2 linked regions of the Canis lupus familiaris genome follow. The protein of the gene in region 1 interacts with the protein of each later gene in a pairwise test. Links are inferred from orthologs where the notes say so. Each region holds a gene or a part of one and is shown in the gene's direction. Other genes may lie near its edges.

The links.
Region 2: the proteins of GABPB1 (region 1) and TDRD7 interact in binary tests that used the Homo sapiens proteins (3 or more experiments, as listed by UniProt). The two-hybrid records come from large-scale screens. The link is inferred for Canis lupus familiaris from reciprocal best matches to the Homo sapiens genes GABPB1 and TDRD7.

Annotation. Positions count from the first base shown.
Region 1 is NC_049251.1:16,538,782-16,542,429, reverse strand, and holds part of GABPB1 (GA-binding protein subunit beta-1), read left to right. Parts: intron 1-1,477; coding exon 1,478-1,663; intron 1,664-3,648.
Region 2 is NC_049232.1:55,090,729-55,094,406, forward strand, and holds the start of TDRD7 (tudor domain-containing protein 7), read left to right. Parts: upstream 1-800; 5' UTR 801-923; intron 924-2,887; 5' UTR 2,888-3,056; intron 3,057-3,624; 5' UTR 3,625-3,678. UniProt on the Homo sapiens protein: Component of specific cytoplasmic RNA granules involved in post-transcriptional regulation of specific genes: probably acts by binding to specific mRNAs and regulating their translation.

The DNA of each region.
Region 1 (3,648 bases):
CACATCAGCAGGTACATGTCAGGCCATCCTGATAATGACCGCTTTGTGAGAGTGGTCATTGCTAGGTCTTTATAGGCACCTTTACCGCTTAGTAATCTTTGCTGTGTGATACTTTGAAAATATATGAATATCTTGTTTCTTGAAACATTTCAGTGGTTTTAACATCCACTGGTGACCCTTGCTTGAATCAATTATTACATTGGAGGTTACAGTGATAATTTTCCTTATTTTGTTAATTAGATGTCATTCTTCTATCAAGATGATCTTTACTCCTTCCCCTTTTCTCTCCTTTTTCACTAAGTATTATTATGGACAAATGGATTTTTGAAGATTCATTGTGTTATAATCCATTATTGTCATTATTCCTTTTGCTGCTTCTTTATTGACGTGTAATAAGCATACAGAAAAGTGCATAGATCATCAATGTATAGTGTAATAAATTATCTCAGAGTGGTTACTCTTGTATAATCACTGCTTAGTTTATAAATGGGAAGAAGGCAATATATATTTTGTATCTGATTTATATCAGTGAGCATGGTTTTTGTCAGATTTATCTATGTTTTGCATTTAGTCGTTTTAATTGCTGGGTAGTATTCCATTGTATTAATCTACCAGTCTGTTTATCCTTCTTCTTTTGATGGATATCCGGTGGTTTCAAGTTTCTTATTATCATGAGTGTAGCTGCTGGGAATGTTCCTGTCCATAGGTCTTTTGGGATCAGTATTGCCTGTGGATTGCACAGGATTGCTTGTGGGAAAGGATTTTGGTAGTATTAAATTGTGATTTCTTTACTCAGGTGAAGCCAGGGGTGCCGTTTTCAGCTGCCAGAATCCTCTCTGGGCCTCTTACAAGATAGTAACATTCTTTGGATTTTATTTATATGAATTTTAATATATTATTCACTGTCATTACAGTACTTGACCTGTGTGCCACTTGCTATCAAGGCAACCCCTTTCTCACATAATCCAAAAAGGGAATACTGTTTATTCTGTTTACTTGAAAAATATAGATTTTTGTGTTTCAATTGAACATGGAAATGCATTCAACTCATGTAAATATAGGCAAATAACTCATGTAAATATAAATGGAGTACAACCACATACAAAATTCTCTTTTGGATCATAAAATTTTATTAAGCAGGTATAACCTGTGTTATATCTATGACCTTAGGAGATTATATAAATTTTGTACCTCATATAAACAATATAAATATTGTTTATTTAAATATATGCATGTGTAGTTAAATATACACCTGTGTAGTCACAACTCAGTTAATTATAAATTGTGGGACTTGTAGTCCATTATCTATATAGATATATACAGCATCACGGAAGAGTGGATTTAATAAAAACCATGTAAAAGCTTTTCTGTGTCAGAACAAAACAGGGAAAGCAAAAGTAGCAAAGCAAAAATGAACTAGTCATATTTATTTTTATGTATGTTCACTGATTTTTACTTTTTTTTTTTTTTTTTCCAGTAGTGGCTACGGAGGAGGTAGTTACTGCAGAATCTGTCGATGGTGCCATTCAACAAGTAGTTAGTTCAGGTGGTCAGCAAGTCATCACAATAGTCACAGATGGAATTCAGCTTGGAAATTTGCACTCCATTCCAACCAGTGGAATAGGTCAGCCCATCATTGTGACCATGCCAGATGGACAACAAGGTTGGTAGTAGATATGTGCATGAAGTTTGAATTTATTCTCAGTGCTTGGCATTTATTTTTGCCTTAGATTTTGTTTTTGTAATGTTTTGCAATAGATTTCATTGACTAATTTTATTTCCTTGGGTTAGTATTGAAATTAGCTTGCTTTCTCTGAGATTATCTAGGTGGAAAGAGGATTTGGTTCCCAAGTATTCTGGTTGGAAAATAAGCTTAAGTAAATAATTCAGAATCCACTTTGGACAGTAATTCCTTATGCCATTTATTGCAGTTCAGATATCATACAGTCTTTTAAAAATACCATATAAGAAAAGGCTCCTTACAAAGCATTGGGCTTAGGACTTACAGTAGGAATGTGGTAGCTACTTTTAGCAGCTTTGTTGGAAATTTTCTCATTTTTTCCCTCTTGGAAACTACTGAGAATAGAAGATAGATTAAACAAAAGACCCAGCTACATTCTCAGTGACCGTAAAAGGCTGAGAAAACCATAAAATTCCCTATTTTAGGTGCTGCCAAAAACATCTAAGACCATTAGAGCCAGGGCAAGAGAACCCTCATGAAAACTCAACAGTGGTGCATCAAGAAAAGAGAAGAGATTGAGCTCAAAGATTAGCAATAAATACACAGCAAGACAGGGCCCACTCTGCATTGGAGTACTATCCGTAGGTCTGAGGTAGGGTTAGGGCATGGATGCTGGAGGAAGAAGGAGAAGGTGCAGAAAATTCCTATCTGAGCTAGCATTGCCTTGTACCCAGTGCCCCCCTCCAACACACAAAATGTGTATGCACACCTATAACCTTTTAGAAAATGATTAGGATTACAGAGACTGTGCACCTTTATGGCCAGTGAAGGAATTGGGGAAGGGAAGGGCTAGAGCTAGAAGTTCTAAACCAGGTTTGGCTTAGAGTGACAGAGGAGTTATGGCTCTATAGAGCGGCCAGGTCTCAGGAAAAAGTTGCTTTAGCAGAAGAAGAGGAACCCCTTACCTGTGAAAACTGGGAAGCCATTCTCTTCTGTTTTGCAGAAATCTGCTGATGGCTCATACAAGATTTGGGTCAGGCCCAGATGCTTTCACAAAGCTTCAAAGAAATAATTCTTTTTTTTTTTTTCCCCCAAAGAACTAATTATATAGAAATAAGAAAACTTGCAGTTTATATCAAGCATATAATGTTTCTAAAAACTGACATTATACAGACTAATCTCATCCCATGAACAAATGGAAAGAAATGCCATGTTTTTGGATGAGAGGATTCACTATCATAAAGCTCTCTATTCTTCCTGAGTTAATTTATAAATGTAACATGCCATGCAAAAAAAAAGTCTATTTTAGTTTGCTAGGGCTGCCACAACAAAATACCACAGACTGAACGACTACAGAAATTTATTTTCTCACAGTGCTGGAGTTTTGAAGTCCAAGATCAAGGTGTTGGCAAGTTTGGTTTCTTCTGAGGCCTTTGTCCTTGGCTTGCGGATGGCTGCCTCCTCGCTGTATCCTTGTGTGGTCGTCCCTCAGTCTGCTAGTGTTGTCTGTGTCTTGATCTCTGCTTCTCAAAAGCACACCAGTCTTACTGGGTTAGGGCTCACTCACTTGACCTTATTCTACCTTATTTACCTCATTAAAGGCCCGATATCCAAATACAGTCATGTTGTGGTATTGGGGGTTAGGACTTAAGTCTTGAGTTTCGAGGACACAGTTCAACCCATAACAGAGACTAACAAGGTTTTTCCTGGAACTAGTCAAATTGATCCTGAAGTTTGTATTAATAGGAGGAGAAGGGAAGAAGAATAAGGGAACTTAATGAGAGGCGCTTACTAAATATTAAAGTAAACTTTTGAAGGCTCCATAATTAAAAAATGCGTAACTGACATGTGAATGAATATATACAGTCTCTGCAGGCAGTCCAATGAAGCAGATGTAAGGTTCTCAATTCTTCTTGCATTAATTTAGAAGTATAATGTAAAGTTACATTTAAGTTAGAGGTTAAAAA
Region 2 (3,678 bases), on another chromosome or scaffold:
TCGATGTGCAGAAGAAAATAAGTGAATATTAGACGTTCAACGATCTTACAATGAATGAAGGAAAGCATTGGACAAAATGTATGTCACCCTCAGGTGCCAAGAGCAACCCGAGACTCTGGGAATACGCCGGAATGACAAGGATCCCTGCGCTCGTAGGCCTTGAATTGGAGCACAGCAGACAATGGAAAGGAAAAGTAAAATGCGTATAGTGGGCCCACCCGCCAGGGGCTAAGGGAGAAGGTATCCAGGGAGGACACTGACGTTCGTTCTTGAAGGAGGCGCTCTCCTTGAAAAGGTGACGCTTGCAAACTACCCTAAGGGCGATGCGAGGTGCACGCAGGTGGCTGTCCCGGAGCGTGAGAAGTTACAGCCCCACCATTGACGGAAAGAATGAGCGAGAGCTGAGCGCGCGAGCCGCCTGGCACGAGAGCCCGGGGGCTGGAGGCGCGCAGGAGCGCGGCGGCCGAGGTCCCGCGGGGGCCCCGGGCCGCCCCCGGCCGCCCGCCCGGCCGCCCGCCCGCCGGTACCCGCGTTGGCCACGAGGAGGCGCGCCGGAGCCCGCCGCGCAGTCGTCTTCCGCCGGCGGCCGGTGCGTGGGCACGCGCAGAAACCGCTAGGCGGCGTCGGTTTCCCTTCCCACGCGCGGACGCCGGGGTGGGCCGACGCGGCTGGGGAGCCCGCGCGTGCGCAGAGCCGAGGCCGAGGCCGGGCTGCCCTCGGGGCGGGGCGGAGCGGGGCGGAGCGGGGCGGGGCGGAGCGGGGCGGGGCGGGGGCTTGAGGTGATTCCCGAGCCGCGACGGCGGCGGCTCCGGCCGAGCGGGGAAACCGAAAGTGGGCGGCGGCCGCGGTGGGGGCCCTGGCGGAGACGGCGGAGGGAGCCGGGCCCGGAGGCGCGGGGACGGGCCGTGGGCGCCCGGGACGAGGTGAGCGCGGGGTTGGCCGCTGCGGGCGCGACAGGTGCCGGGCGAGGCTGCGGGGGGGCGCGGCGCACCTGGGTCCCTAGCGGGACGGTGGCCCGGGCGGGACTCGGCCGGGCCCGGCGCCTCTTCGCTGCAGCGGCGGGGGATGCCCCGGGGAGTTGCAGTTCCAGAGCGTCGCGTTTGAAATCTGTGATGGGTCCCCTCCCCGAGAGCCTGACGGACCCGCCCGCCCGCCGCTGCCGGGACCCTCGCTCGGTGCAGCCGCAGCCGCAGGCCGGGGAGCTGCAGCAGTGGGTGGGGGTGCGGGCGAGGGCGGAGGCGCTGACCGGGAAGTGGTTCCGCAGCCGCCGCCGGGAGCAGCGCCCCGCGAGCTCCCAGCCCCTCGCAGGCTCGGCCTGTCCGCGCACCGGCCGGTGCAGGCCGCTCAGGTACTGCAGGGCACGCATCCTGTCCGTTGCTCCCCGGCCGCGAGCCCCAGGCGGGGACACAGCCAGGAAGCAAACCTGACTCTGGGGACGAGCTGCCTCTTAACTTTGACCGAGATCCCGCAGGGTCAGGTGCTCAGCCTCGAGTTAATGACAGGGGGGCTCGAGCCCCGCGCAACTTTTCTGGCTCCGTTCCGCCTGCGGAGCATAACACGTTTGCCAGCTGGAACCAAAGGGGACCACCGGTCCCAGATAGTTTGACAGAGCAATAGCCTGCCTTAGAAAAAGCCCTGGCCCAAAAAGGAGCGCTTTAACCTGCTATAACCGCCCTACAGCACCAAACAAAACTGCCTATCTGGGTCAACCCCCCACCCCCACCCCACCCCCATCGTGCAGGTGGAAATATGGCAGTAAACCGTTCCGCCCGGCCACGCGTGTGCAACAACTTAAGGACAGAAGTGAAAAACTTAGACCCAAATTTCTAACTCCTCCTCGGCTGCCTCGACGTGTAGGTGCTGCATACTTGCAAAAACAGTGTGGGGCCTTGCAGACCCGAGTTGGAAATCTGGGCTTAACTAATTGTGGATGGTGAATAAATTACTTTCTTTGAGCCTGGTTTTCTGTGTCTCCAATGGAAATGTTGAACATAATTCCACACAGCTTTTGTGAGGTCACCCGATGCAAATCCTTTGGTTTGCAATAGTGGTCGAGAAATGTTGACTCTTTTCCTTCCACCAAACTTTCCACGTCTTACATAATTGGATTTCAGTTGCTTGGAGTTCTCTGATATAACAATTAATCGGCATGTGGTGGGGAATTTTCTATTCCCACTTAATTGACATTTCAGAATGTCAGTTAGGTGCAAAGTACTGTGCTGGGTGCAGGGAATTGCCCGGAGGCTAGCTGGATTAGAATCCACATGTCCAGTGCCCCAGCCCAGGGCTCTTTGGTGGCACACAGATTTCTTCTCTGCTAGTTAAACGCTGTGAGAACTGCGAGGCAGCAGTTGGCAGTGCCTTCGGATTTCAGTCCCTGTAGACTGGAGATGGAACATAATCCCTGCTAATGCCCTTTTAAGTGTATTGGTTGAACGTGACTGAATGAACTAGTGTGTTTTATACCAAGCGATTTAAACTTCTTGAGGGACTTCTCTTTAAATTTTCTGTGAAATATAATCTAGTTGGAGACAATATGAATGTAAAGGAAAATGCTTTATAATCCAACTCTAAGTGCCTGTTCTTGTTTGATCAAGTGCTATTTTCAAGAACTGAGATTCAACAGAGTGATTTGCATCTGGGCACTTTTCAGGATCAGCCAATGAATACAGTAAGGACCCAAGTTCTTTGGTACTTGAGTGAAATATAATTTCATATTTATGTGAATCGGTTTTTCTTTCTCTATGCAAAACTTATCTTCTCTGCCCTCTACTCCTGTCTCTGTGCTTTTGAAAGCTTCATTTTTATTATTGCCCCAACGGGCCAATTTTTTTTTTAAATTTTGTCATTCAAAATGTTTAAAAGTAATTGATTTTGTCATTTTTAGCTGAGATGTGTATATATGCCAATTACAGCTGTTGGTCAGCACAGGATACCTAGTGACTCCAAAGCAAACTCAATATTATAGCTGTGCAGCTTTGTCAGAAGGAAGCAAACTTATGGTTTCCATTAGTTCTTTGGATCCCACTTCAGAACTTGAAGGACTCCAAGGAAAGGTGAGAATTGAGGATCTTGTCCATCTTCCATATGAAAAAAAGAGCCCTGAAATGCCTCTCACTCAGGGTCACAGCTAATTAGTAGCAGAACTAGGATTAAGACCCCAAATCCTAACTAAGCCACTTTATTATCTCAAGAGGTTTTTTTCCTCTAAGATGTAGATTTATGGAAAGCCCTTACTTATTGTTCATAATATGTAGTTAGTAATGCATATATAGTTTAGAACTTGAAATTACAATGATTAATAATAATAATAATAATAATAATAATAATAATAATAATAAATGCCCCCTAAATATACCCTATGGAAATATATCCACTACCTGAGAGCATTATTTAGTATCTTTCCTTTTAAAGAGTTGGTAAAGGAGTAATTGAGGTGGTAACAAGTAGACTGTACTGCAATGGAAAAGAAAAAAGAACATGTTAAACTGTTGCAATTATGAGAAATCTCCCTGAAGTTTGGGTCTTAGACCAAAACTTTCCCTCTCTTAGGCTTAGTTTATTGGTTTGTAAAATGAGGCGTTTGGGATAAACTCGATGACATCTAAAATCTTTTATACACAGACATTCTGAACTTTTAGGGCCTGGCTTATTGCTAAAATAGTGTCTTCGAGTAAA